4 linked regions of the Saccharomyces cerevisiae S288C genome follow. Changing the gene in region 4 together with the main gene of any one other region gives a genetic interaction. Each region holds a gene or a part of one and is shown on either strand. Other genes may lie near its edges.

Region 1 (7,857 bases), on a different chromosome or scaffold from region 4:
AGCTTCTACGAGATCCTGTGGAACATGATTTTCGGAGTGCTCTTTTGAAGCGAATCTCCCCGTGTTATGCCTCGTCACTAACCTTAATTCATAATCTTCAACATCATTCTTCGGAGGTGCTATCGCAGCAATCTCGTTCCATGAAAATAGCAAAGAATCTGTCTTCCTGGCAAACGGATTTATATCAACAATGAAGATTTTATTGAAAGGTCTTGGAATATAAACGTCAAGAACGAAACTTTTATCAGGAAACTTGGGCAGGACGACATCATGAACTATTTCATCAATAAGGTCCTTGAAGGTATCTGACAACTCATCTAAATAGTCATAATAATTTAAATCACGCTGGGTGGCCCCAACGATATGCGCATTCTTAACGAAGACCCTAAATTCGAGTGCCGGATTCATATCACACCATTGTCTAAGTACCAAGTCAAATTTCAATCCTTTTATATCATCCCCGTCCACGCAGCCTTTAAATGCTCTTTGAAGGTCATGCATTATGTAATTGGATGCGTTCAACAATAGGTAAAGCTCATTTACCTCGTTACACTTCATAGTGTTATTCGGCAAAATCCAGGTAGCGTCTCTTGGTGCAGACCAGTTTAACTTGGGAGCCACTGCACCTAATTCGTTCAAAGCATCCTTTAATTTCTGGTGTAATTCTGGAAAATCTATCAATGGCTCAACTTCTTGGACAAATTCGGTGGCGGTATCCTCATCGTCCTCCCAATCACTATAGTCATTATCTTCATTTCTTATTATTTCCTCGGTGTACACAGACCTGGAGTTTTCCTCTTGGGGTAGCTTGATACCGTCTTGTTCCAAATATTGAATAAATTTTTTCGGTAAGGATTTTAACACTATGGATTTTGGCACATATTTGGGATACAGTGAGGACCAAAACGAGTAAGAACAGTGTTCAACCTGCGCTCTTGTCACTGGTATATCTATAAAAGTTGTATATTCTTGTGAGGACATCAATAAGTAATTTATGTCAGCGCTTTTTGGACGCACGTTTTAGTTTCACTGGTGGAGTTACGGTATCATTAGCTTCTTAATCTTCCCACTGCATAAATGGACATCGGAAAATATCCGCTTATTATGCCTGAAAAAATAATTTTTTTAACAGAGTTTTCTACGTACTTTTTACTTAACTACTGAGGCAGCGCAACTGTTTAGTATTTAAACATATAAGCATATATATAATGCAAGTAATCAGGAGAACATCTTCGAAAGAGACTTTTTAGCTTTTTCGTTTTGTTGCTTTCTTTTTAATTTAGTATTATGAATAGCTTTCAAAATGGCAGCGTCATTTGGCTGGAAAGTAGTGGCCATTTCTAGGTCATTGAGAGCCATATCTGTGTCATTAACATGGTAATAGGCCAGGCCACGACGGTACAAAGCTTTGGCCTTGGCTTTTTCGTCAGCCGCTTCGGCATATAACACCTCCGATGAGGCTACTAATACTTGCTTGTAATCTTTTAATTTAAGAGCACAGATGGCAATATTCAATGGAATAGACACTTTCAATTGATTGATTTTTTCAATTTGTTCCTTCTCCAAATCTTCTGGGAAATACTCTTTCAAGAATTTATCACATTTGACATATTTTTCTAAAGCCACGGAATAGTTCTGTTTCTTGAACTGTTCAGTACCAATGTTCTTTACCGTTTCGATAGCTTTCAAGACGGTGTCGAAATTCTTCAAGTCAACTTTTTCGTCTTGTTTTAAAACATCTTCATAATTATCGCCGTACTCATCTGTTGGTGTAGCTTCGGCATTCTCTGGCACTTGATAATCGTCAGGTAACACGCCACAGTCATCAATCTTTACATCACGCAATGGCTTGTTGTTTTCTTGGTCACATTGTTGGTTTTCAATCAAACGAACAATTCTTTTACCTTGAATCACTTCACCAAACACAACGTGCTTCCCGTCCAAATGAGGTGTAGGAACACAGGTTATGAAAGCTTGAGATCCATTGGTATTTGGACCGGCGTTGGCCATGGATAGAAGGAATGGTTTATCATGTTTAACAGTGAAATTTTCATCCTCGAATTTTTCATCGTATATGCTCTCACCGCCAGTACCATTAAAATTGGTAAAATCACCAAATTGACACATGAAGTCTTTGATCACTCTGTGGAAAATGGAACCCTTGTACGACAATGGTACATCAGGTTTAGTCTTTGCCATACCAGCATTTCCTTCACACAACTTCAAAAAATTTTCAGCCGTTTTAGGCACTATGTCATTGTACAACTCAAAAACTATACGGCCTTGGGGTTTACCTCCAATAGAAATATCAAAAAAAGTTTTAGGTCTAGTCATTTTTACTCCTTGATCGCCTGAATATTGTCTTACCAGTTTTCTATGTGATGTGAGCGCATCAGCACCTCTGATATTCGACTTATTTAAATAATTTTCTGTCTGAACTTTCTCCAGCTAGGGCGGAAAAATATTCTAGAAGCTCATAGAAATGCCGTTCAAAAGCGTAACAGTTATGTTCTATAAAGGGAAACAATGTGTTTCGATCACTGCAGCTGTCTATTATATACAAGTTATACATCACGACATTTAGATTTTCATTTCTTCTTTTCCGAATCCTTACTGGTCGTCCCATCCACGTCCACTGTGCTTACGCGCTCTCTATTACCATTCTTTTCCCAACACTTCCTAAATAACGCCATCTCGTTGAAGCACTGCCTCCAGTCACCTGTTTCGGCATGGCACAGCTGTAATGCGAGGTTCTCTACGTAGCATCCGGTCTTGGATATTCTCGTGTCCCACACATCCGGGTCTTCGTCTTCTTGGACCTCTTTGTATTCTTCCAGCGCCTGCTTATAATACTCTGAAGTTTCGCCAGTTTCACTCATGACCAGTCTGCCAGTTTTAGCCTGCCAGAGCTTTTCTTTCCCTTTAATCTTCCCTTGTTTGGCGCAACTCTTAGAAGTGCCTTTCACTACCTTTAATGGCTGAGGCCCCTTTTTTTGTTTCGGACATTTGTTGTGAGAAAAAAAAGAAGAAAATAAAAGCATAAATGAAGCGAATGGATGAGAAGAGGGGAGGGAAAGCAAGAACGAGAAGGACAAACATCAGGGACCCATACTTCAATAAATTGCTTGATTTGGTGTTAATCAATTCTTCTAACATCAAACCTCTTTTAGTTTCCTTCGATCGTTTCACGTTGCTTATATTGATTGCTTTTTACTTCTATTTTTTCACTAGAATAAACAAACAAAGACATTCTGTTGATCAAGAAAGTTGAAAATGGTATTTGGTTTTACAAAGAGGGACAGGAGGGTACCTGATTTATCTAGGTATGATTACTACTATCAGAACCATGAAGATTATAACAAAAGTCCTCAGCTCTCTGCTGCTGCTGCCTCTGCTGCTTCTGCCGCATCACCGGATCGAACCAATTACTCAAGGTCGCACTCGCTGGTTAGTCATGCACCTTCAATACCGAGACAAAGAAGTTCGGTAAAGAGCCCAGGAAGAAGGCTTTCCACATCCTCTGCCGCTCCGCCAACGTCCAGGGCAGCAGCTAAGCAGTATTCACAGAAGACTTACTCGTTGAGGTCGCAAAGGAGCGGAGAGTACCATTTACACCCGCCCGGTTATACTACTAATGGGAGCCGTATGAATTCTATGACGTCTGGTGCGAATGTCAGAAGAAACTACGGTAAGAACAAATCGACGGCCGGCAACAATAACGATTCAAGGGCCAACTCCATTACCGTAAAGACTACACAAGTAACAGACCCTTCAGGAAGGACTCAATCAATTACCAAAAAGACAATAAGAAAAATAAATGGGTATGAATACGTAGAAACCACGACTACGACTAAGAATTTGGTTCCATTAGGTGACTCGCAGCGTCATTTCGATGAATTTAGTGAAAATTACATGTTGCAAGATGACGACATTTTAGAGGAACAAGCTAGTGATAACATTCACGATATAATCGAGGAAAACGAAACAGATAACGAAAAGCCATATTCCCCAGTAAGCGAAAGTCATTTACAAGATGATTCAGAGCTAAACGTGGAAAAACCAGATTTCCCACTTGGATCATATTTCCACCATAAGTATTCTACAGACGTTATGCCTCTAGAAGAAGAAAGTAGTTTATCAAACTTCAGTGACGCATTAGATTATATTCCTCCCACCCATCAGACCAGTAGTAAATATATTCATAATAAAAGGAAGCAAGCATCGACGACAAGAAGGAAGAAAAGACCGCCTGCCGTGAAAAACGCAGAAGCAGAGGCCAAGAAACCATTAACCGAAGCAGAAATGTATCTGAAGGCACTAGAGGTTGCTAAAAGAAACGTTTATCACACGGATGCTGCTTCGGATAACGCATCGGCCCCCCTCGGGAGTAACAAATCCAGGAAAAGTAGGATGGGTCAAAAAATGACCTTGAGAAGCAGTAGTGATTCTCCGACGGCGACTGCTAATCTTGTCAAATCTAATGTCGAGGTTCAACCAAAAAGATTTACAAGTTCCTTCTTCAGCAGAAATACTAAAAGCGCCCCCCATGAAGTGCACAATCACTCTGTGTCTACACATTTTAAATCGAATAAGGCTGTTGACCCAGTTCCAGAGCCTAAAAGTGCAAACACAGGGCTAACAGATAAAGAAATGTATGACCAAGCTTTGAAAATCGCACAAGCGAGGTATTACAACTCACATGGTATTCAACCTGAAGCAGTCGATAATAGCACTACGGCGGCTAAACCTCGTCAGGTCGGCGTTAGCCATCTGGGATCCACTGGGAGCATCCCGCCCAATGAGCAGCACTATTTAGGGGATTCTGAAATTCCAGTCCAAAGCGAAGTGCATGAATACGAGCCCATTCCATTGCAGAAGACAAAAACAACTGGTTCTTCCAAAAATAAGTTCAAAACCATGTTCGATAAAGTGCTGCAATTCTCTCAAGAAAACTACGGCTACCAGCACAAGAAGGAACAAGGCGAACAAACTCCAGTTACTCGTAATGCTGAAGAAAGCTTCCCAGCAGCGTCTATTTCGGAAGGTGTGACAACCGCAAAGCCATCTTCAAACGAAGGTGTGATGACGAATCCAGTAGTTACAGATTCACCTTCACCCCTTCAACAACAAATAGACTCGACTACTGCGTCCTCGAATGGGCAAAGTCAGGGCAATGTACCTACCTCCGCAGTAGCTTCAACAACGAGAACAAGATCACCGGAACTGCAGGATAATCTAAAGTCTTCTTCTTCGCTTTTACAGGACCAAACCCCTCAGCGTCAGGAAGACGCCACGGATCCAACAACATCATCGACGAATGAATTATCTGCCGCTGAGCCAACAATGGTCACTTCGACACATGCCACTAAGACAATACAGGCTCAAACACAAGATCCTCCCACGAAGCACAAGAAGTCCAGTTTCTTCACTAAACTGTTCAAGAAAAAAAGCAGCCGTTAGCAGTTGTTTACTCGAATTTTGCAATCAACCCTAATTTTTGAAGCCTGGTTTTAGATTTATTCTCTTCTTTTTCTTCTTGTGAACTTCAATTACTAATGTAACTTAATTTTTAATATAACTTTTACAGTTTAATAATATTGATTTTTTTCGGTCTGGACCAATCGCGCCGCATTTCTCACTAATATTACTAACATACCCTCTTCTCATTGGCTCGGTACCCCTTTCGTGACCCGCATTTTTTGTTTTCTTTGTTAGCCCGAATGTCTCACAATGAAGATGTAAAATTAAGATTATATATGAAAAATTGATACAAAACAAAATAGTTCAAATAATCAAGTTAAAGCGACATCACTCTCAATTTTTGCTTTTTTTAGGTTTATAGAATAGAAATATAACAGAACGAAGCCTTTAGACTCTTTTTTTTTATTGGTATATTGAACAAAGAAACTTTTTTTTTGTCCTCCCATATCTCGTGCACACAAATATTATGTCCATTGTAGCACTAAAGAACGCAGTGGTGACCCTTATACAGAAAGCGAAAGGTAGTGGTGGAACCTCAGAGTTGGGGGGGTCTGAATCAACTCCCTTGTTGAGGGGTAGTAATAGCAATAGTTCAAGGCATGATAACTTATCCTCATCTAGCTCGGATATTATCTATGGTAGAAATTCAGCGCAGGATCTAGAAAACTCACCGATGTCAGTAGGGAAAGATAATAGGAATGGCGATAACGGTTCGGATAACGAAAAGGCGAACCTAGGGTTCTTCCAATCAGTAGATCCTCGCGTAATTAGCGATTTGATTATCGGGCTAAGCGACGGTTTAACCGTCCCCTTTGCTCTAACAGCTGGTCTATCTTCACTTGGTGATGCGAAATTGGTCATTACCGGTGGCTTTGCTGAGTTGATCTCAGGTGCGATTTCTATGGGCCTTGGTGGCTATTTGGGAGCGAAGAGTGAATCTGATTATTATCATGCTGAAGTAAAGAAGGAGAAAAGGAAATTTTACGATAACTCCAACCTAATTAACAGAGAAATTGAAGACATTCTGTTAGAGATTAACCCTAATTTCTCGGACGAAACAATCGTTTCGTTCATCAAAGATTTACAAAGAACACCTGAGCTAATGGTTGACTTCATTATCAGGTACGGTAGGGGTCTAGACGAACCTGCCGAGAATAGAGAACTAATCAGTGCAGTCACTATCGGTGGCGGTTATCTACTTGGTGGGCTAGTACCACTAGTGCCATATTTTTTTGTCTCAGATGTGGGCACAGGTCTCATTTATTCTATAATAGTCATGGTTGTAACATTATTCTGGTTTGGTTACGTAAAGACAAAACTATCCATGGGTAGTGGCAGTTCGACTTCAAAGAAAGTTACGGAAGGTGTTGAAATGGTTGTTGTGGGTGGTGTAGCAGCAGGTGCGGCTTGGTTCTTTGTTAAGTTACTGGGTTAAGTGTAAAGTAACAACACTATACATATTTATTGTAAAGAAATTTGGGATTGAGAAGCTTTGCTATATACTTGGAACTGGGCTGGATTTTCTCGACATACATTTCTTTTACGTTTTAATTTGTTTCTATATTCTCCTCTTTAAATTTATTTATATTAATGAATTTCAAACTAGTTTCTTTTTCTATTGCCAAGAGGCCCATCAGGTGATCCATGATAACCTTTATTCGCATTGAATCGTTTTTCATTGGATCTAATTCGTCATTTGGTCGCCGCCTTTCTTTGCTCCTTCTGCTTTTTTCTTTTTCTCTTTGACTATCAGGTCATAAGATCTTCTCCTCCATTATGCCCAAGTGTTTTTCTTTTTTTTGCCTTTATATAAATTACAAAATACATACATATACTTCTCGTGCAGTATACTGGAATCAGCTTTATACCATATGAAGCACAACTTGGATCAGGACCGCTCTTCATTAAAAATCGAAGAATTATCTAAATAATTAATGTGCACGTCAATATATTCTCCGCGGAAACATGACAAACTTTTAGAAAAAGATTTAAAGCAATATTTTTCAGTTCTCCATTTCTTTATTTTTCAAGACCAATTCTAGTTCACCAATATCAAACATTCCTATGCCTTCCTGCAGAGCATCTGCCAAAATGGATAGTGATTTATTCGTGAAATCCGGGGCAGCTCTAAGACGATTGATATCATCACCGTAGTTTTCAAAAAGTAAATTTAAGTATTCTTCCCTTAACTTTGTCTTGTCTTTCCCTTTGGGCACAAAGTTTTCTGCCAATTCATTGTATTCTTCTCTCGCAAGCTTGATATTTTCGGCAATTTTCGATGCATTCATAAAACCCTCCTTGTTTTGAGATTTCGTAGGCTCTGGGATCTTGCTCAAAGAAATTTTGGTTAAATCGTCTATCACTTCTTTTGAATTT
Region 2 (8,584 bases), on a different chromosome or scaffold from region 4:
AGACAGTGGTTACTCCCACACCGATTCCCGTTACGGCTCTTCCCAATGTCAAAAAATACCACCTTCCATAGGAGAGAATTTGAATGGTTATACCGATGCAGTACACTACTAAGGCAAACCATATACCACCTTTCCTACCAATCCAATCACCGATTTTTGACAGAGTTAAAGCCCCTACGCCACAACTGATGTTAAAAATACTGATAATTAGGCCTATTTGCAGATCAGTAAGTTTCTTAGTAGATACAAAAATTGTTTCATCGTCATGGATAATATTAGTTGTGCCAAATTTTTCTTGAAAGCTAACCATATTTGTCATTCCACCGATGGTTCCAATGTCCCATCCAAAAATAAAGCCACCAAGCGAGATTACCAAGCACAATAAAACGGGAATATGCAGACTCGCATTGTGACTAATCTTTGCTGCTTGGCCTTCTATATTTTCTTCTTTATCATCTAGATACTTAATGGTTACATTATAATCCCTTCCCCTGCCTGCATCAAGCTCATTATTGTGAAAATGAGAGATGTATCCCGAGCTATGTTGATACGGAATCTGAGCAGTCATTTCTAGCAATAATTGAAGTACTTTACTTCCTAAGAATACGTTAACAAATTCTTTGTTAGTATTTCTAATTAAAAGTGGTTAATTGTTCTGTTAAACAGTATTCAATGTTGCTATTTGAATTTGTGTCATCATTAGAATTACTGACATTTTTATTTTCTATTTTTTTTTCTATTTTTTTTCCTCTTCTTTTGAGGGCCGACGTATCGATTTGTCAAGGGAAGTATAATTAAAGAAAGCACTGATATACAGGTTGCTGGGTAGATATTAAGAAGCTCAACATAGACACGTTATGGACGGGCATAATCAGAACCAGTACCAGAATCAGAATCAAATTCAGCAGTCACAACAACCACCTCTGAAGAAATATGTGACACAGAGACGATCGGTAGACGTGAGTTCTCCGTATATTAACCTATATTACAACAGACGACATGGATTACCGAACCTAGTGGTAGAGCCAGAAACTTCATACACAATAGATATAATGCCGCCTAATGCCTACAGAGGTCGAGATCGAGTCATAAATTTGCCCAGCAAATTTACGCATTTAAGCTCGAATAAAGTGAAACATGTGATACCCGCCATCCAATGGACCCCAGAAGGCAGAAGACTTGTAGTAGCAACTTATAGCGGAGAATTTTCTCTATGGAACGCATCTTCGTTTACGTTTGAAACCCTCATGCAAGCACATGATTCGGCTGTGACTACAATGAAATATTCTCACGACAGTGATTGGATGATTAGTGGGGACGCAGATGGAATGATTAAGATATGGCAACCAAACTTTAGTATGGTTAAAGAAATTGATGCTGCACACACGGAAAGTATTAGGGATATGGCATTCAGTAGTAACGACTCGAAATTTGTTACCTGTTCAGATGATAATATCTTGAAGATTTGGAACTTCAGCAATGGCAAACAAGAAAGAGTATTATCGGGGCACCACTGGGACGTGAAAAGTTGTGATTGGCATCCCGAGATGGGGTTAATTGCCTCCGCATCTAAGGACAATTTAGTAAAACTGTGGGATCCGCGTTCCGGAAACTGCATATCATCAATTCTGAAGTTCAAACATACTGTCTTGAAGACGCGATTTCAACCCACCAAGGGAAATCTATTAATGGCGATTTCAAAAGATAAATCGTGTCGTGTGTTCGACATTAGATACAGTATGAAGGAACTAATGTGTGTAAGAGATGAAACGGATTATATGACACTAGAATGGCACCCAATAAATGAATCTATGTTCACTCTGGCGTGCTATGACGGCTCGCTAAAGCATTTTGATCTTTTACAAAATCTAAACGAACCTATTTTGACTATTCCATACGCCCATGATAAGTGTATCACCTCGTTATCATATAATCCAGTAGGACATATATTTGCCACAGCAGCTAAGGATAGAACCATAAGATTTTGGACTAGAGCGAGGCCAATTGATCCTAATGCATATGATGATCCAACTTATAACAATAAGAAGATAAATGGATGGTTTTTTGGCATCAATAACGACATCAATGCTGTGAGAGAGAAGAGTGAATTCGGTGCGGCCCCGCCACCACCAGCTACACTTGAACCACATGCGTTACCAAACATGAATGGATTCATCAACAAGAAACCGCGTCAAGAAATCCCAGGCATCGATTCAAACATCAAGAGTTCCACATTGCCAGGTTTAAGCATATAAAAGTGCGCTTTGACGAGATTTTAGGATACATAAATAAAAAGACTATATAACATATTATTTGTGATAATATCTCTCATTTCTGGGGAATGTACCCCACAGGCACCACTGTTTACTTTTGTCGCTGATATCTTCATAGAATTTTTCTTTATTCTTTGGGGTATTCTTCTCGGTGTAATATTCAATGAAAAATAAATATCGCCAGTTTCTATCATGTTCGTCCAAATGGAATGGTCTAGAGTTTATAGAACACATGTTGAGTGAATGGATTTTTAGTATGTTCAAAACATCTACCAAAGAACCAGGGTCATCTTGACGAGTAGTAAAGGTGAGTAGGTTAACCCGTAGTAATCCAGTGTCTTCTACTTCATTGTCGCCTGCGTTCTCCCTTCTCTTCAATACTAAAAATCTTGTTGTATTTCCTAGCTTATCATTTATCGAATGTTCAATGATGTACGCCTTATGCAATTGGGCAGCTGTTTCACTAGCAATGGCTAAATGCAGAATGTTGTCGCAATCGGCCGTTGATGACCGAATGCATTGGTTCACTGATTCAGATGTGGAAGAACAATCCAATCTTATAAAGGTGACCTGCGGAAATTTTTCTGCCATGGACCTTAAGTAACATTCAACCTGGCCCCATACTTGCGGATGTGAGTGTATTATGACTTCTTCAAAATTTCCAAGGGATGCAATACCATTTGGTAGTTGGATTGGGCTGATTAGACAATGGGTAATGGGTACATATTGCTCCGCTATAACTTCTATATCTGGTGTAATTCTATTAGTATCTGCTGGAGCAGGTAAGGATAGGGCTTTTTTGATCATCCTATCACGCAAGAGATCATAGGAAAAAACTACTTGTCCATTGGTGGAATTTTCCAACGGTACCACTGAATAATCTATACTAGTGTCGTTCTCCAATTGGTTAAAACATTGGGGGATAGAGGCTGCTGGGAGGTACTCAACATCAGATGTTGATTGAAATTGTTGTAATGCAGCTTGATGGGAATACGTACCTTTGGGACCCAGAAAAAGAACCCTCAAAGTCTTGCTGGCCATAATTGAAGGATGAATGCGGAAATATAATGAAGTTGCTTTTCGTACTTTTTTAGCCTGTTCTTTCTGCGTATTATATTCATCTACTAAAATTTTTATTTTCATTTTTCATTATGAAAATACAAGAGTCATGCTGATAACTGTGTAAAGAAACTGTACGCTTGTCGCAGATGATGTAGTACGTATTTTATTTACAGGTGTCATTAATATATATATATATATATATATACGTATACGGAAGTAATTCTTCGTTAATTTTCCATGGACTGTGATAGCGAAATCAATTTCTCGACGGTGAATCCCGGAGAGGCCTTAGAGAAATCTCTTAACAACTGCACTCTCTGTTTAGCAACTGGAGTTTCTTCACCCATTGCACCATAAAACCTTTGCACGTTTAGCAATAACAGCTGTGCATCCTGTACATTCACGTTTGTATCCGGTTCAACATGGCCATTCATAAAAACAATTCCCTTATCCTTGACCAAATCAGAATGGAACTGCAAGGTAGTATGTGGCCTTGCAAATTCCTGGTGTAGTTTGTATTCTGCTAGGGAAGTCATCATACAATGTGTTGTTTGGGGTCCGACAAACTGCCATTGGATGTAGTGTAGTTCCATTCCCTGTTCTTCGTTCGGTTTTGCATCCTCAGATTGAACTTGTCTAGGAAGTGGCAACACGAATATAGGGTTATTCCTGGCATTTGCCATCATCTTATCATAAACGGAGACAGGAATCACAGCGCATAATGTATTATCTTTTTGTGCCCATCTTGCTCTCCAAAGAAACTCTACTTCCTGTTTCGATAAGTCCTTCAGTTTTCCAACATCCAAAAAAGAGTCCAATGTTTTGAAGGGAACTTTAGGAGCACTTGGATCGAGAGGACTTCTTGATTTCGTCATCAAATGCTTGGAGTTGTTATTTTCCATTTGAGTTTTTTGTTGGTAATCCTCTAGTTCTTTCAGGGGGTCGATTTTATTAAATTCCCGCTTCTTAGACTCTATAGTCTCTTTCAAATGATTTTTCAACTCTTCTATGCTGTTAAAACCTTGTTTTTGAGCCTCTTCCAAAAGTTTCTTTCTATACTTCTGCTCTGGGCTGGAAGAATAAAAACGAAAAACAGGAACTGTTCCAATTGCCTTGTTAAAAATGGGCGACAGCTGATTAGAAATATGGATTCTAGTGCCGATTTTTCTGGTTAGTCTCCACATAGTTATTCTTAAATCTCTTTTGTTCTCTATTTTCAAGTCTTGATAAGTTCTTCACATCCTTCGATTACGGCGTCAAAATAAGCGTTATTTCCATTCGGGTGAGTTGAACCATTGATAACAACATGGTTTAACGATACTTTGAAAGGTTTAGGCGGAGCCAACCATAATGGATGAATCGGTGGATCCTGTGGAGCTGCTTCTACGACTACTGATACGGCACAAACCTCATCTGAAACCATATGCCTACAGACAAGATAGCTGGCAAAGGGTGCTCGATGAGTACAACAGACAGACTGGGTCAAGATATAGACAATCAAGGACGTTAAAAACCAAATTTCGTCGACTGAAGGACCTCTTCAGCGCAGATCGAGCCCAATTCTCTCCTTCCCAGTTGAAGCTGATGGGAGCACTCTTGGACGAAGCACCAGAACATCCAAGACCAAGAACTAAATTCGGAAATGAATCATCTTCATCCTTATCATCATCTTCTTTCATTAAAAGTCATCCGGGGCCTGATCCGTTTCAACAATTATCATCCGCTGAACATCCGAATAACCACAGCTCCGACGATGAGCATTCAGGCTCACAACCGCTGCCCCTGGATTCAATAACGATTGGAATTCCGCCTACTCTTCACACAATCCCCATGATTCTGTCTAAGGATAACGACGTCGGGAAAGTCATCAAAAGCCCTAAGATAAACAAGGGTACAAATAGGTTCAGCGAGACAGTACTGCCTCCACAAATGGCTGCTGAGCAATCGTGGTCGGACTCTAATATGGAATTGGAAATATGTCTAGATTATCTTCACAACGAACTCGAGGTGATAAAGAAAAGGCAAGAAGATTTTGAGTGTAAAGTTTTAAACAAGCTCAACATAATTGAGGCTCTCCTTTCACAGATGAGACCACCCAGCCAAGGAGATAAAATATAAAAACTTCTATTAGATATGCTTGATTCATGTCCATATGTATCTATTTATACAAACATTACGTAATATACACAGATTATACATGAAAGGTGCTCTTCATATTTGGCTTCTTGCTTCCACTAGCCTATCCCAACCAGGAGAGTCATCCCATCTGCCTTTGCCTTTACTCATTAGAGCTTTGATAGTAGATCTACATTTGTATTTCCAGTCTTTGCAAACCAGACTGCCTGGCCCATATTTACCTTCCATTTCACCAAGTGATTCATAGGCAGCCACCAAATCTTCACAAGCATCCACTGTATCATTCCAAACCTTTTCTTCAACTTCTAAATCAGGATTGTGAGAAATGGCCCTATAAGCCTTCTCGTGGCATTCTAGGGCGGCCCATGGTCTCTTCCTCCAAAGTTCTACTCTTGCGACCAGTCGCCAACATCTTGCACTGGTTGTAATTACCTGAGGTAAAGTGTTACAGATAAACTCAGTACAGCTCTTTTGAAAATAAGATAATTGCTGCGGCTCCTCTGGATATTCACTAGTCACTAATAGTTCTACTAGTTTTTCAATAATTGGTAAGTCGATGGAACCTTCGCCAGATTTGTCCCTCCTAATACTGACTAATTGTTTACATGCAGTTAAGACATCCTCCCACTCATTCAACTTAACAGCAACAAGCATGTAATTCTCCCAAATTTTCCAGTTCTTTTGAGCGTCACATGAAATGGCTCTTTTCAAACAACTATAAGCTTCTTTCAATTTATCCATTTTCGTATATGCAGCGCTCAAATTTGACCATGAAAGAGCATGATAAGGGTCTAATGAAACACATCTGGTAAATGCCTCCGCAGCTATCTGCATTTTACCACATTGTAATCCAACGCAACCATAAAAATACCACGTTTCAAAGCTTAATGGGTATTGCCTTAACGAGTCATTTAAATGTTTCAAGGTAGCAGAGTAATTTGGTTGTGCTCCAGACTTTGGAGGAGGATTAAAGTAATACTTTGCAAGGGAATTTTTTGCGTTGACGTATTTTCCAATCTCCCAACTTTTTTCCCATAGGGATGGATCCTGTTTTATATCACCCAAAATGGAGTAAGCCCTGGCATCCGAATCATTTTCATTTATTCTTTGAAGAAGGATTTCTTCTGCCTTTTTTTCATCTCCAACAGCGGCATAACATAATGCAGTCTCGCATGCCATACCAAGTCTTTCATAAATTTCCACAGCGGACTTCAAAATACCCAGCGACATATATTTTTCAGCTAAGGTGGCATCCAATTGCCACCTAGGGATGAACGGCAGCTGGTGGATGTATGACAGCCTGCTAGCAACATTGATTTCGCTTGAACTTGGAACCAATTTACTCTTAATCTTCAAATCCAATTCTTCTACGAGGGATTGCATTTGTAAAAGTCCTCTTTCAATAGTTTTAGCCTTTGTTGTCTCAATAATTGACCTTTCCCATAATGATCGGGCGAAAATAGACCAATTTTTGTCACCGTTTTGATATAATATTCTAGAAAGCAAAGCAGTAAGTTCTTCTTCCACAAGAGGATCCTTGGCCGGAGTTGTGTTCTTTATGGTGTAAAGACGTAACAGCAACTGGATGTTGTCGTAATCAGATAGGGTAGGTTGATCGTTAGGGTTCAAATCCAGCAACAACTTTGGAATATTTTCTTGACGTAGTGCCAATGGCAATAGTTTATCTTCTTCATAACCTTCATTTAGGTCTACCTTTTGTCTTTTACTATAAATTTGCTCGTCTAGAGGTTCATCAGCAATGGACTCAAAATGAGGCTTCTCCAATAATAGATCGGACTCTAAAGCAAATGTTTCTGGTGTAGCAGATGTCGTTCTCAAAGCAAAATTTTGAAATGTGAAGGATTTGGCAAGAATGATCAAACCGGCATGAGCCTTTTGCTGATATTTAGTTCTAGTAGCGCGTGCACCCGTCATTACAAATTCAAAATTTGTTATCTTTTTCGCTCTGGTCAAGGATGGCAGGCACAAATGTTCTGTGTTGATGGCCAATGAACATTTGACATTCTCTAGATAGTACATTGCACAAAGTTCTCTTTTGAAATCTTCGTGAATACTCTCCGGTAATTCCTTAGTTATCGCATATGCAAGGTCAGCAGACTGATATATTGCAGATGCAACACTAGCTTGGAACCCAGAAGGTTCTGGAATCAGTGACAATTGCGTCAAAAGAGCTCTTGCCCACCACCAATAAGCTACAGCTAATAATCCAGGAGTAGACTCAGCAGAGATAATAGGTAGCGGAATTTCTTGATCCGGGGTAACATCAAATAAGCTTTTTTGGCCGGTTATCCTTTCAAGTAATAATAGTGATAAAACCAAATACAATGGATCATCCATAAATTCGTAGGCAGGCTGGCCCATAATGGCTAATGAGCGGGAAAGGGCTGTATTAACTGCTCCTATTTCAATTCCAGTTTTGCCAAACAAACCTGAGATTGCTTTCAACCTAGCTGCTGGGCCGGTGTAGTTATTTTGAATAAAGGTCTGTAAGAGGGCAATAGCCAAAAATAGCATCTCATTTTCTTGGCCCATTTTGAAAACCTCAACGTTAAGAAAGTCATTTAGAGCAGCAATAACACTAGATGTGGATATTTCTCCCGAAATACTAATTTTTCCCTTAAATTTGTCCACAAATTGCTGTACTAGCTGGTATGATTCACCACTGATGATATGTTCAGCCTTTTTCACATATGTCTGGTCGAAAGAACCACTTTTCAGAGATTCTACTTCTGCAGACAGCAATAATTTTGCATGCAATAACGTCTCCATAATTTTGCAACCACTAGTTTACTTTTTGCCTGGTCTGATAGCTTCTTTTTAGCAATTCCTTTGGCCTCGATGAGCTTCCATTTTCAATTTTCATCTTTTTTTTCACGATGCGAAGTTTCTTAGATAATTATCGCCATATACGAAACGCGTTAGGAAACGCGTTCTTTCCTTTATAATAAGCAATATTATATCAACTTAAGGTGGAAGTAATGTGGCAAAATCGATAGCGACTATCTAGAACAGGCTAGTTTAAGCATATACATAATGGCAAGTATGTATTAGTGCTAGGAATTGGAGGATTTGCTCTTTTCTGCATCATTTTT
Region 3 (8,317 bases), on a different chromosome or scaffold from region 4:
AACACTCAATTGTAAAAATAAGACAATATTATGATTTTTTGGCTGTATAACCACATCTATTTAGTAGCAGGGTGACATGTTACTCCCACACAATACTTCGCGCAAGTGGTTTAGTGGTAAAATCCAACGTTGCCATCGTTGGGCCCCCGGTTCGATTCCGGGCTTGCGCAATTTTTCCCCCTCGCCCTGAAGGGCGTAACGTTAACGCTTCCGGTAATTTGCGAATAATTTTTCTTCCCATTTCCCCTTTCTTTTCCCTTTAACATGTGGAGCATAGCAGGCTCTTTACTTTTTTACGCATTCAGACAGTCGGGAGGTCAATTGGTGGTGCCGGTTGTGGGAAAGAGGTAATTTTATTTCCTTTATTGGACATGATTTCAATAGTCACATTGGGGCAGGAAAAAGAAAAGGGAGAAAAAAATTCAGTAAAGAAAAAAAATAAGAAAAAGAGAAAAGAAACAAGAGAGGGCTACAGATTTCTAAATATCCTTTTGCTGCACATTTTTTATTTACCTGCTAATTGGTCTTAGTAATACAGAGTCGTGCATTTCCACTTTATAAGAAAAAAAAAAGGGATAACAGCACCAGCACTTGATTGAAAACTAGAAAGTTCACGTTTTATAAGTCCTTTCCGTTCTCTTTATCAGTTATAATAAAAGAGCCAAGACAAAACGTGGCAGGGAAGCTTTTCCAAGGAAAAGAGGGTTGTAATATTAAACAAAAACCGTAATCAAGCAAAATAAGACCCCGTGGTTTTTTATCATAGGAAAAGAGTTCTCTGTTGTCACTCTACCATATTTGACAAGAAAAAGGAAACAAAAGTATAGAAAAAAAAAACCTAAAAAATAATGGTCTTGATAAATGGCATAAAGTATGCCTGTGAGAGGTGCATAAGAGGCCATAGAGTAACAACATGCAATCATACAGATCAACCGCTTATGATGATCAAACCCAAAGGTAGACCTTCCACTACATGCGACTATTGTAAACAACTTCGAAAAAACAAGAATGCAAATCCTGAAGGTGTTTGCACGTGTGGCCGGCTAGAGAAGAAAAAACTGGCACAGAAAGCCAAAGAAGAAGCAAGAGCTAAAGCCAAAGAAAAACAAAGAAAACAGTGTACCTGCGGGACTGATGAGGTTTGCAAATATCATGCTCAAAAGAGACATCTAAGAAAGTCCCCTTCAAGTTCTCAAAAGAAAGGAAGATCCATTTCTCGTTCTCAACCAATGTTTGAAAGGGTATTGTCTTCTACTTCACTTGACAGCAATATGTTATCCGGCCACGGAGCACTATCAGATACCTCTAGCATACTGACGAGCACATTTTTAGACAGTGAGCCGGGTGTTGGTAAAATTTCAAAAGATTACCATCATGTCCCTTCATTGGCCTCCATTTCATCCTTACAATCCTCGCAATCGTTAGATCAAAATTTCAGTATACCACAAAGCCCGCCGTTATCTTCAATGTCATTTAATTTTCTCACGGGAAATATCAATGAAACCAACCAAAATCACAGTAATCATCAGCATTCAAAATCAGGCAATAACTGGCAAGATAGTTCGGTAAGCTTGCCAGCGAAAGCTGATTCACGTCTTAACATGATGGATAAAAACAACTCTGTGGGTCTTGACCTATTAGGCCATTCAAAACGAATATCGCCGATATCAAACTCTCGTGTGGGCGAAGTTAGCGTTCCGCTAGAAGAATATATTCCTTCTGACATTGATGGGGTTGGAAGAGTTACTGATAAAAGCTCTTTGGTCTACGATTGGCCATTTGATGAAAGTATTGAGAGAAATTTCAGTACAACCGCAACCGCTGCAACTGGTGAAAGTAAGTTCGACATTAACGACAACTGTAATAGAATTAATAGCAAAAGTTATAGTAAGACTAATAGTATGAATGGAAACGGTATGAACAATAGCAATAATAATAATATCAACAGTAATGGCAACGACAAGAACAATAACAACTCTTCTAGACAAGAACATCAAGGAAATGGACTATTTGACATGTTTACAGATTCATCGTCGATTTCAACGCTTTCCCGTGCAAACTTATTATTGCAAGAAAAAATTGGTTCGCAAGAAAACTCTGTCAAACAAGAAAACTATTCGAAAAATCCTCAACTTCGTCATCAATTAACTTCCAGAAGTAGATCATTTATTCATCATCCGGCAAACGAGTATTTGAAGAATACTTTTGGAAATTCACATAGTAATGACATCGGAAAGGGAGTTGAAGTGCTATCTTTGACACCGAGTTTTATGGATATTCCCGAAAAAGAAAGAGAAACGGAAAGATCGCCATCATCCAATTACATTACTGACAGACCTTTCACTCGAAAACCTAGATCTTCTAGCATTGACGTAAACCATAGGTATCCACCTATGGCACCAACAACCGTAGCGACATCTCCCGGTGCATTGAACAATGCCGTAGCAAGCAATCTCGACGATCAACTGAGTTTAACATCACTAAACTCTCAGCCATCATCGATAGCAAATATGATGATGGACCCTTCAAACCTAGCTGAGCAAAGTTCTATTCATTCAGTTCCTCAGTCAATAAACTCTCCGAGAATGCCTAAAACTGGAAGTCGCCAAGACAAGAACATTCACACTAAGAAGGAAGAAAGAAATCCGCTAAATAACATACACGATCTGTCACAATTGGAAAATGTACCAGACGAGATGAACCAAATGTTCTCCCCACCATTAAAAAGTATGAATAGACCGGATGCCATAAGGGAAAATTCATCTAGTAGTAATTTCATAATCCAAGGAAATAGCATGATCTCTACGCCTTCCGGAAGGAATGACCTTCCAGATACCTCTCCAATGAGTAGTATTCAAACAGCGTCACCACCAAGTCAATTACTGACCGATCAAGGATTTGCGGATTTGGATAATTTCATGTCTTCGTTATGATAAATTTGCTTTTCGTCTCTTGCTTCTCTGTAACTGTAGTTTTCCTCCTCCCACATATATATATATATATACACTTTTATACACCTAATAATATCATCGGCATTATGATTGCTTATACATTTTCATAATCAATATTACTGTTCACCATTTGAATCACTGCAGAAATATGCACTGCGCCTTCTTTTTCTTTGCCTGAAGCACCCACACACAAGAACAGGAATGTGAATGGCCTCCCCATCTCACTTTTACTTAATAGTATTCTGACAATATAAGGTATCAGAGAGTAAGACCATTATTAGGCAAACAATAATCTTCAGAATTTTTAGTAGCGCATTCTCAACCTTTCTAGGTGCGTTTTTCTAATGAAATAGTATCGTTTTCCTTCCGCATTCCTTGCGTAGTTTGTTGTGTAAATATAGCAATAAGAAACCCTATAAATCATTATGATGTAACTCCCGATTCTTTTAAATAATTACATAAACTAGGAAGGCAAGTCCGAACACGCAGAGATGAGGTATTTGCACTCAATGACAAATCTAGGTTTAAACTACGGGGCTCCATACCTTATCTCTTCACTTATCAAAAGTAGGCAAAAGAAAAGAAAATAAATATAATTTCTTTTTCTGCAGGCAAGATTTTAAAAGAACTTGCGCGTCCTCTGTGCAATCTACCTGGGGAGTCTCGGGCTTTAACCGCTCCCCATTCTAAACTGCTTCCATTGACGTGTACTATACTGCTCACTTCTTGCTCTTCGAGCAACAAAATCTGTATTACGTTTCTTACACTAGTCGAGTGAAAGAGATAAGATACCCACTTTTACTTGCCGGGAGAATGGAAAAGAGAAAACGGAAGAAAGGGCTTAAATACATTTTCCTTTAATATGAACATCCTACTGTAAGATAAAAATTGGATGCTGATAATGGAAAGGAGACATGTACGGTATGTACGGCAAAACCTCGGCGGGTTTTCGCCGCTAGCTCATATATTCTTTCGTTAAATTTTAAAATTTCTTATTCTAAATCTTCTTTACATGTTTGGAAAGAATTTATTGGAGAGAAAAATCTAGACCTGCCAAGCCGATAAACGAATGCCTGCGAAGAAATAGTGTAAATATTACTCCTGAAGGTAGAGTCATCTAGGCGGAGACGAAAACAAAGTTTAGCTTTTCGTGAAATTGCCCATTTCATGTTTATCAACCACCAAAGGTTAAATGGAGGTTTGACAAAAGAAATTTTCTTGCTAAAGGTTAGCATTTTTTTTGGAATTTTTTTTCCTTCGACTGGCTGTAGTTGTCCTTCTATATTACGTACAACAAAAACTTTCTTGAATGAAGAATTAGTTCTATCATATAGACCATAAGAAAGAAAACGCACTTGGATAATTTTTAACAAAGAAGAGGGCAAACTGACGCTCACCAAGCTATTGGTTTGTTTGGATCAATCGTCAGATATGAAGCCGAACAATCGAACTTGTGATGTAATTACCAACAAAGATGAATCTCTTCCTGCACTTTTGCTGCCTGCACTGAACAGTTACACCTGTGACGATTCATTGCTAAAAGGACAAATTTCAAGCAATGGCAGATATCAACCATTCGGGTTTTCTGATTGCTCTTTACTGCCAAAGCGTTTAAACATTCAGGCAGGGCAAGGATCTATGCCAGTTTCTTCGATTCAATGTGCAGACCACAGTTATAGTAATTGGCAAAAAGAATCCGAAAAGACTAAGCTTCCCAAGCTTGGTTGCCCAACAGAGTACACTGAATACTATAAAACTGTTTCTTCCGGCGAAACAACCGATTCAGCGGTTGTTTCATCTATAGCAACGAACAGACTCAAAAGAAAACGTCAGAGGGACGGCCCAAGTTGTGACTCTTGTAGGATAAAGAAAATAAAATGCAATGCAACAATCATTATCTTTTTACAGGATAGGAACCTAATTTCATCAATTTCTTCAAATTTGCATTATACACTTTCCCAAGACGACATAAACCAGTTTCGAATGAAGTTTTTCAGGAAACTGCCTGACGTGATGGGCACATATGAAGTCATAAAACACCTTGATAAAATAGTCCTTTTCAAAGCCTGCACCTCTTGCAGTAGAAGAAACCAAAAAAATGGAAAGTGTCTTTTTTCGAGAGGATTTACAAAATCTGATATGAACGTATTTCCCAAGATAAATAGTAAACTTAAAGACAAAAGTATCTTCGAGATGACTGTCGATGATTATGTTGCCGCTGGCTTCCAAACCCTTTAGGTTTCATGCATGTAATTTCCTCCTATGTAAAATATAGGAATATTAATAAAACGCACCAATAATAAGTTAGATATTTTTCTGCAAGATATAAATTTGTTTACTCATACATATATATTCTATTGCGGGGCGCTCTTGTATAAGTAATTCAATAAAAAACCTCTATATGATACAATTGACCAAGCCTTCATTTACCATTCTATATCAATTTGGAAAGAAGGGTATTTCTCTATTTGGGCTCTACATTATAACGCAATCTTATACCCATTGCGGATAGCTCAGAGTCCAAGTACTTCAACACAAATGGTATGGCCACCGTAGTTGTTTCATTACCACCAACAAATTTGTTACCTTGTCCATCTTCCCAAATTTGAGAGTCGTCAATAAAAATTTTCTCTCCATCTTCTGATTTAGTCAATAGCTTCTTTGCATCTTCGAATCTCATGGAACAACGACGGCAACAAACGGTGGAAATCGAACCAATTCTTGGCACACTCTGTTGCGTGGTCAAAATAGAACCACACTCGCGACATACGGATGCCTGTGTGTAGTCTGATGAATTTAGCAGACGATCTTGTAATAGAAAAGATGTACCATGCCCAATCAAAGCATCTCTTTCCATTTCACCGACACGAATACCACCATGTCTCTTTCTACCTTTGACAGGCTGCATAGTCAAACTATTCACAGGACCAGTGGAACGAACTTGGAACTTGTCATTGACCATATGACGTAATCTTTGGTAGTAGACAACACCAACATAAATATCTGCCCTTAATTCTTCACCAGTAGCACCTGAGTACATTGGCTCATTACCATGGTAGTTGTAACCCGCCTTCGCTAGTTGCTCACCAAAGTAATCGGCTGGGGTATCGTCCTCGTTAAAGATCCAAGGTGTAGAGTCCTGTGCAATACCATGCAATGCCCCCGCTTTACCTGCTAAAGATTCGACGAACATACCAATGGTCATACGCGAAGGGAAAGCATGAGGGTTAATGATGATGTCTGGTTGGATACCTGTTTCGCTAAAAGGCATATCAATGGTTGGCCATTTTCTTGAACAAACACCTTTTTGACCGTGTCTAGAAGAAAATTTATCACCAATTTGAGGCGTTCTTCTAATACGATATTTTATGCTAACAGTTTGTAGTTCTTGGAACTTATTGGATTCATCACCGATTAAATTTACCTCTTCGATATATGCTGGTTCAGAGGAGTGATATGTCTTGATTTTGGTCTTATTTAAAGTATCGTCAAAGTATGCGCAGATTGGATCACCCTCTTCAACATAAGTGCCAATGTATGGCAAACCATCCTCGTCTAATTTCTCAAGCCACTCCTTTGGCCATTCGTCATTCCCGAAACCAAAATGCTGTGTAATTGGGTCACCACGGTTTCTGTTAAGTGCTAAATCCACTTTCTCAGTCTTATACATAGTACCATAACCGAAACCTCTTTCATCTGCTGATTTGTTTATAATCATTGCATCATCCATATCATAACCAGTATACGAGATGACCGCAACAACAGCATTAAACCCGTTTGGAAAGTTATCCATGCCATAATCATCATATAAATTAGCTTTTACGATAGGCGTTTGACCTGTTTGCAACCTATACAGCTTATTGTCGGAACGATGGCACAAAGCTACACCCGGAGTACCCATTGTTTGTTTACCCATCTGACATTGATACATGTTTCTTGGAGACTGGTTGAAATCAGAAAATGGAGTCAAATTAGCCAAAATAGAAAGAATATTTGTGGGCGTAAATTCTACGTGTGTATGAACGTTATTTTGAATTTCTTGAGGAGTGACAGCAATGTTCATGTACACTTGCTCAAAAGGTCCAACAATGTCTTCTTTATCCAAAGGCAGGTAACGAACAGGACGCAGCATCCTAGAATGACCACCAAATAGGTAGAGACCTGGATATTGACCACGAGTTGAGGGAGGAACATATCCAATTTCTAGATCAATCGGTAACCCAGGCGTCTTGCCTTCAACTTTCCAATATCTCAATGTATCCGCAATGATCTTACCTTGTTCATGAGAGACCCAGCCAATAATTTTACCATCAATTTGAACACAACACAGAGAAGGACCAGCAGCAAAGGTGTGAGATGCCGGAGCAACACCAAGTGAGTATAATATAGAAGGAATTCTTGAGACGTCAGATTGCTGAGTTGATATACGACACTTGTGCGCAAAATGGTTTAATAAACCACAAGGAGAACCATCTGGTGTATGAACAGGGCACAGGAATCCCCACGACTCAGGTAGCAACTTTCTGACTGTGGTAGTTTTCAATTGCGCAAAAAAGGAGCCTCTATGAACCATTCTAAAATGAGAGATAAAACGGTAGAAGTTAATTTTTTCTGCAACCACAGTATAACCAGAAACTTGTTGTAAATCTAACCCAGACTGGGACACCAGGTTACCAGTTGATAAAAAGTATTGCATTTTGGAACCAATGTTTTCATTAACCCTCATTAAAACTCTTGACATGTACCTTTTGTCTTTGAAATTAATGGCCATACCACGGTTAATATCCATCCTGACTTGAGCAATAATATTCTGTAAGTACTCATCAATCTTTTCTTTTAGGATCATACCATATAAGAAACCACCCAAAAGAACTTCTTGATGTTGCGTAGCATCTGGGTTATCTGGAGAACATTCGCCTGCAACCAAGGAATACAACTTTCTGATCATGAACAATAACATTCTGAATTTATCCTGGCTGCCATCCTTACCCAAATGCACGAGAACGATGCGATCAAGGACTTCTTGTCCGACTTCTAAATCAGATTGATCAGGGGAAGCTTGAAAGACAACACGAAATTTGTCTCCTAAATATTGCAAGACTTGTGTGCGATTTTGTAAATGAGGATATCTTTTCTTAAAACCACGTAACAGTAATTCTAAACGATCGGTCAAAAAGGAATCCTTAACGTCATTACCAATAATACCATCAAAAATTTCCCTATCGCTGGTATGACACAAGGCTTTTAAAATCATAACAACAGGAACTAAATATTCATTTTTTCTCCAAGAAAATCTAAATGTAACTTGACCGTCATTTAAGTAATGCAAAACATTAGTTTGGGAAGTTTGATCCGGCCTGACAGAT
Region 4 (6,394 bases):
AGTTATGCTTTGAACTTCATTCAAAGGTCGCCAAGACCAGATATGGATCTCCTCTGAAATCTTCTATGCCTGTCCTGCAGATACGGGGGAGAGTCGATAAAAGGGTATGAACTATATCTTTTGTTTTGCTGTTTCGAATGAATACTTGGGGCTGCTATTGGAATATTCAGTACAGGAGCGGTTCGTCTGATAGCATTTTTGAAAGCTTCATTTATGGAGATTGACACGGCATCGGTAGGGTCGCTCGGATAGAGAAAGCTTGCATTTAGATTAGAGCAAGTGTTCGATATCACGGAGAAGCTATTATCTGTACATCCTTGTTCGTATTCTTCATCCAGCAAGTAATTAAGGTCGTCATCATCATAATTATCATCATCATCATCGTTATCATCATCATTATTAATTATTTCAGTATTGGGGGGCTCTATGTCCGAAGTAGGCGGCAGTTTGAATTTATCGCTCAAAGACTCATTATTCCCAATAGTAGCTCCTTCATTAATATGCGAAAATTGGCAAATTTTGCTAATGACGTTTTCAAAAGCTTTCACACTATTTTCCAACTCTGATTGGGATTGACTAATCAAAGGTAGAAATTCGATTTCCCAGTACCGTTCCGGATTATAAAAGCTAATAAAGTATTTGAAACCTGCGCCATTTAGCCTTGTTATTTGTAGTTTGGGTAGTACTGGATGCACAATATCACCATGTCGTCCTATCGATAAATAGTTTACTACATGCCCATCATGACTACTAGCTTTACTAGATTTTTGAAAGGGCGCTATATTTTCCTTTAACTTATCAAACCCTGTACATATCTGATATATTTCAATAGGTCCTTTTGCCATTAAAGATGTAGGTTTTAACTTAATAGTGTTTTGACTGTCTTGACTTTGCGTATCATTGAAGAATACTCCACTACTTTCAGTGACATTATTTGCGGATACTTGGGAATTTCTACGAATGCAACTGCTATTCGGAATATCATTATGAATGGGAACGAATGAATTCATAACCTGAACATTGCCATAGGTAAACAATGAAAATCTCTGAGTTGATATTCTTTTCCTTTGTGTTCCGGTTTTCTTCGAGGACGTGCCATTTTTTTTGGCTTTAACAGATTTATTTGTATCGTTTGAGTGTTGGGTCGAATCCTGTTTCAACTTTTTATTGTTGCTAAGTTTAAGTGACTGTTTTAAAGTTTGAAACGTAGATTGAGGTTTCTTTTCTTGTTTTGCCGTTAATCTCACGCTATTTTTCTTTGTTTCTCCCCTTGATAAAACCATACCACTTTGTTTAATTTCCTGAGAGTTATCAGACGAAAAATGTAGACCTTGTATCCTTCATAGGTGAAGGAATACTTCCTCCGTAATAAGGTAATTTAAAGTTCATAGTTCATTCACTCTTTTTGTTTACATCTCCGTTCTTCGTGATAAGTTCATAGATAATAAGAGAACAAAGTATTTAACGCACATGTATAAATATTGTATTAAAAGGGTACCTTTATAAATATGAGATCCGAGGGACGTTTATTGGAATTATCTTTTAAATCGTCTATATCACATATTCCAGTATACATAAGTTTTAATTTTAGAAAACGTTTAAATAAACAAAGAGAAAAAAAATAAGACACAAAAAATAACAGTATCTTTATTCTTGACATTCATAAAAATGCATGATAATATTGGTTTCATGGGGTAGTACTTGTATTATTAAAAGAAAGGAACAAAAAATTCATTGTTCAAAAGCTTAGAGATAAAAAAAAAGAATTATAGACACAAAAGAAAAACATGGGTTAACATTAATTGACATTAATAATAGAAAGTGTAATAAAAGGTCATTTTCTTTTAATCAACTCTCTTTCTTCCAACCAAATGGTCAGCAATGAGTCTGGTAGCTTGCCAGTGAATGACCTTTGGCATTCTCATGGAAACTTCAGTTTCATAGTCATACAATTGTCTAATGGAGTTGTAAACGACATGTGAACCCTTAACACCAACGACAGCAGCAGTGTCAGAAATGGTCTTGTCATCAGCGTTGAAGTTTTCTTCGGCAGCACGAGCTTCAGCAATGGCAGCTTGGTTGTCTTTGATGAAGCCGACAGCTTTAATGGCCATTCTAGTGGCTCTTGTTCTATCAATTGGAGATGGCAAACCACCTTGTTGTACATGACCTGGATAAGCTGGCTTAGCGTCAAATCTGCCATCGGCTTCAGCAGTAATAACTTCAGCCAATTTAGTGGCTGATAAAGCCTTAGAAGCGTTTGTACTCTTCAAAATCAATTTACCAAATCTACCTCTACCTTCTGCCTTTTCAAAAGATTGAGCTAAGTATTCAATATCCTCGGACAATTGCTCCAAAGAAATACCTTCTTCTGGGACATAAGAGACTTGAGCACCAACAGCCAAAGAAGCGTAAGTGGCCAAATAGCCTGAGTTACCACCTTGACAATCGACAACGAAGGCTCTACCTCTGGTTGAAGAAGCGGATTGTTTAACAACATCACAGTATTCCATTAGAGCATTCAAAGCGGTATCAGAACCCAAAGAGTATTCAGTACCTGGAACATTGTTAGACAAAGTAGCTGGTATCAAGACCATTGGGATTCTGAAAGCTGGATAACTTTCTCTTGCTCTCTCTAATTGATGTAAAGATTCAAAAGCTTCGAAACCACCAACGATGATCAAACCATCAAATTCGTACTTTTGGAAATAGTAAGCAATCATACCTAGATCTGCTTCTTCTGGAGTGACTCTGTTAGTACCGATTTCAGAACCACCACGGGATTGCCAACCCAACATATCCTTCCAGTTCAAAGAACGAACACTTTCATGTCTTGCCAAACCAGACCAACCATTGTAGATAGCGTATGGTCTGTGACCTTGGGACATACAGTAAGTAGCCATCGAGTAGACGGCAGAGTTGATACCACCAGCTGGAGCACCGACATTAACAATGGCAATCTTCAGTCTCTTGTCCTTTGGTAGCTTTGGTTCGTTGTGGTCAGCAGAGTTGATAGCCATGAAATTGTTTAAATGTTCAATGAACTCAGTGTCTCTTAAAGACATAGCTCTCTTGAAATCCTTAGCTTGAATGGCTTCTGCAACTGCTTTGGTCAACTTGACGGATTCCATTAATGGTTTACGAACAATTTTGTTTTCGTTAACAGCAATCAATGGTGATGGGGTGTCTGGAGTGGATTCCAAAACGGCATTAACGGCCTCAAGACCTTGTAAAGTAGCCAAGATACGGTCGTAAGCAACAGCAGTACCACCTCTTTGAACGTGACCTAAGGTAGTAATTCTTGTATCCAAACCTAATCTGTCAACTAGAACTTTGTGGACGTCGCTTGGAGAAATTGGGGTCAAGTCAGCAGCGATAGCACCTTCTGCAACAACAACAATGGTGGTTCTCTTACCCCTTGATCTGTGCTTGGAGACAATGTCACACATTTGATCTTGCCATTCGCTGGAAGTGGCTGGCTTCTCTGGAATAAAGATATAGTCAGCGGAAGTGGCGATACCAGCTAATAAAGCTAACCAACCACAGTTTCTACCCATAACTTCAACAACGAAAGCTCTTGAGTGAGAGTTGGCAGTGGCTTCAACGTAATCGATGGCCTTACAGATTCTGTCCAAGGCAGAGTAAGCACCAATAGTAGCATCCGTGGTGGACATATCGTTATCAATAGAACCGACAGTACCGCAAATATTCAAATGCTTCATTCTTTCGTATTGTTCGTTGGAAATTCTGTTTGTTTTCAACAATTCCTCGATCAAAGAAGGCCATTCTGATCTAAACAGATCAGCACCAGTCAAAGAACCGTCACCACCACAAACGATCAAAGCATCGACACCGGCCTCAATCAAATGTTGGGCACCCAATAATCTACCTTCGCGCTTCTTGAATTCCATACAACGGGCAGTACCAATGTTGGTACCACCTTCAGCAGACCAACCACGGACGTCTTCCCAGTGGAATTCCTTGATGTATTCTGGACCACCACGAACCAAACCTTCATAACCTTCCATGACAACAAAGGCACGACAACCTTTGAAGATAGCGGAACGCACGATGGCTCTAACGTTAGAGTTCATACCTGGAGCATCACCACCGGAAGTCATGACGGCAATTGCCTTTTGAGGCCTGTTCAATGGCTTTGGCAGAGATGGATAGGTGTCGGTGGTTTTCATACGGTAAGCCAAATCAGTGTAAGAGTGAACTTTAGAGGAAAGACCAGACTCAGCAGAAGCTTCTGGTGCTGGTGGTGGAGTTGGCTTGGTTGAAACTGCGTTCTTAGTAGAAGTAACACCAACAACGTTACCTAATGGGTCCAAAGTGTACAACTGCATTGGAAATAGTTCTGTTGGGTAGCCTTGAAGAGGAGCGTTCATAGCATTTAGAGTGTCCTTGACTGCCAAGATGTCGGAAGTGTTAAATACCAAGGATTGGGTGGCATGTGATCTCCAGTCTTGAGTCTTGGTAATACTGTTCAATTCCTTCAAATGAGCCTCAACATTTTTATTGATTTTTTCATCAGGACGTAGAAGGATCTTCAAAGAGATGGAATCGTTAGACAATAAAGTGGAGTTTTCATCTGGAGAAGAGCGGTTTTCTAATGACAAAAACTTGGTGTAAAAATCTATGGCAGCTTTATAAGATTGAACGGAATATGCAGTGACGGTACAATAAGAAGTACCATTCACAAAAGGAGTAGTAACAGTCATTGCGTATGGTTAGTTCTTGGCCAATGCTAAACTAGTCTCTAAATCTAGTTCTATTGTTCAAATGAGGTATAAGAAAGGCTTTTAAGCAAGAAGAAGGAAAAAAAAAAAAAAAAAGGAATTTTCTTCTTTATGAAACCGAAGATAAGAAGCTTTTAATCAAGGAAGTAATAAATAAAGGACAAAAAGAAGAAAAAAATATTATTGTTTTATAAAATGCAAGTAGGAAAAATAAGAATGAGAGCGGATAAAAAAAAGGCAGGAAAAAAAACAACAACATGAAGCGAGAGACTTCATTGCGATGTAATAAATGAATGGTAGATAAAGACCGGATGGAAAAAAAGGCCGATTTAACATGGCAAACAAAAGATTACATACGTACTGATCAAATTGATCAATTCAATATCTCTGTTTTCGTTTTTAACATTCAACTACCGTCATAGCGTTATACGTAGGAAAAAAAAACCGCAATCACGTAACCGTGGCTTCCACTAATCGGCTCTTGTGCCGTCAGATTCCGGATGTACGGGTGGACGCCATTTGGAACGAAAAAAAGAAATTGAAAAAAGTGGAAGCTAGAAATCACTGTCTTACCCTGGACGGTATCGTATATAATGACTCCGGTTTTTTTTTCTCTACCCCCTTGCCTCTTACCCCGGATTTTACCCAACTTTATCTTAATCTTCGTTTTCCTTTTAGCGTGGAGATGGTAAACGCTAGCGGTAACGTTAACGTTGCAAAGGGGGTATGCGGGACTGGCTGAAACGGGCGATGATACGATGCAACAAAGCAGCAGAGAATGGCTATGAATAGTCTTTACACCCACAGTTTTTCGTGTGGCAGTTACTATATATTAGTAGGATATTCGATCTATATAGATGGTAGTACTTACAATGCTGTTCTTGGGTTTTTGCGGATCTTCTTTCTTTTTTGTAGTTTTATTTTATGTCTTACTTCTTATTTCCTTCTTACTTCCTCATTGGTTAAGGCTCACGTTGATTGCAATAACAAAGAAGTATATACTGTAGCATAGCTCTTCATATCATTTTTGCCGTGCATTCGAAGACTATATATATATATGCATATTGTCTGACCTTTCGCCTTAAAGTAAAGAAGACAACAGAATATAACCATGCTGAGTAGCAGTAGCAATAGACCCATATCTGCCCATCTAACCATCCATTACAAGGCTATTCAGGAGGAAGAGGGGGAGGATATGAGAAGCGGTGCCGGAAGTGGTGGCCATCATGACGACTATTTTCTGGAGAGTAACAGATCTCCCACTCCTAATAAGAAACATGAGTTCATTAAAACGGTGCTCAATATCAACGATAACGACTCTGAATTTTCGGAATCGTGCTCACCAAGAGAGAAGTTACATAACGAGGGGGCTTGTAATACAGACCTGTTCGGGGACTTCATGTCTAAAAGACAACAGAGGCTGTCTAATTCTATGAACATTTACGACCTTTATCAGTGTGTACATAACCTGTCGCCTAGCAACAACAACCATCAGTTCATAGCAAGAAGGTTCAGCGATTCTCATATTCCCTCCTTGCATCACCGCCAGCAGCAACAGAAGGTAACAACAAAAAACTTTGTACAGCCCACGAAGGACATTCAAAGGATCGCCTCGTACGCTGCGGATTCAGACCAGAGAGTCAAGTATTTAC

Evidence for each region.
Region 1: mutations in PFK2 (region 4) and COA4 together harm fitness more than expected from each alone (negative genetic interaction), as found in Saccharomyces cerevisiae (2 studies listed by BioGRID).
Region 2: mutations in PFK2 (region 4) and ATP11 together harm fitness more than expected from each alone (negative genetic interaction), as found in Saccharomyces cerevisiae (2 studies listed by BioGRID).
Region 3: mutations in PFK2 (region 4) and SUT2 together harm fitness more than expected from each alone (negative genetic interaction), as found in Saccharomyces cerevisiae (2 studies listed by BioGRID).

What each region holds. Positions count from the first base shown.
Region 1 is NC_001144.5:570,878-578,734, forward strand, and holds COA4 (Coa4p), read right to left. Parts: upstream 3,042-7,857; coding exon 2,589-3,041; downstream 1-2,588. Other genes in the region: cell proliferation protein CDC123, read right to left, coding at 1-981; peptidylprolyl isomerase CPR6, read right to left, coding at 1,219-2,334; MSC3 (Msc3p), read left to right, coding at 3,274-5,460; CCC1 (Ccc1p), read left to right, coding at 5,948-6,916; RSA3 (Rsa3p), read right to left, coding at 7,485-7,857. UniProt on the Saccharomyces cerevisiae protein: Involved in cytochrome c oxidase assembly or stability.
Region 2 is NC_001146.8:39,762-48,345, forward strand, and holds ATP11 (Atp11p), read right to left. Parts: upstream 4,520-8,584; coding exon 3,563-4,519; downstream 1-3,562. Other genes in the region: HXT14 (Hxt14p), read right to left, coding at 1-568; cleavage polyadenylation factor subunit PFS2, read left to right, coding at 858-2,255; prephenate dehydratase PHA2, read right to left, coding at 2,310-3,314; DAL82 (Dal82p), read left to right, coding at 4,686-5,453; tetratricopeptide repeat-containing protein EMW1, read right to left, coding at 5,547-8,261; RFA2 (Rfa2p), read left to right, coding at 8,526-8,532.
Region 3 is NC_001148.4:572,170-580,486, forward strand, and holds SUT2 (Sut2p), read left to right. Parts: upstream 1-4,382; coding exon 4,383-5,189; downstream 5,190-8,317. Other genes in the region: HAA1 (Haa1p), read left to right, coding at 849-2,933; DNA-directed RNA polymerase I core subunit RPA135, read right to left, coding at 5,416-8,317. UniProt on the Saccharomyces cerevisiae protein: Putative transcription factor involved in the regulation of the activity of the cAMP/protein kinase A pathway. Involved in sterol uptake.
Region 4 is NC_001145.3:670,043-676,436, forward strand, and holds PFK2 (6-phosphofructokinase subunit beta), read right to left. Parts: upstream 4,725-6,394; coding exon 1,845-4,724; downstream 1-1,844. Other genes in the region: INP1 (Inp1p), read right to left, coding at 21-1,283; YMR206W (uncharacterized protein), read left to right, coding at 5,854-6,394. UniProt on the Saccharomyces cerevisiae protein: Catalyzes the phosphorylation of D-fructose 6-phosphate to fructose 1,6-bisphosphate by ATP, the first committing step of glycolysis.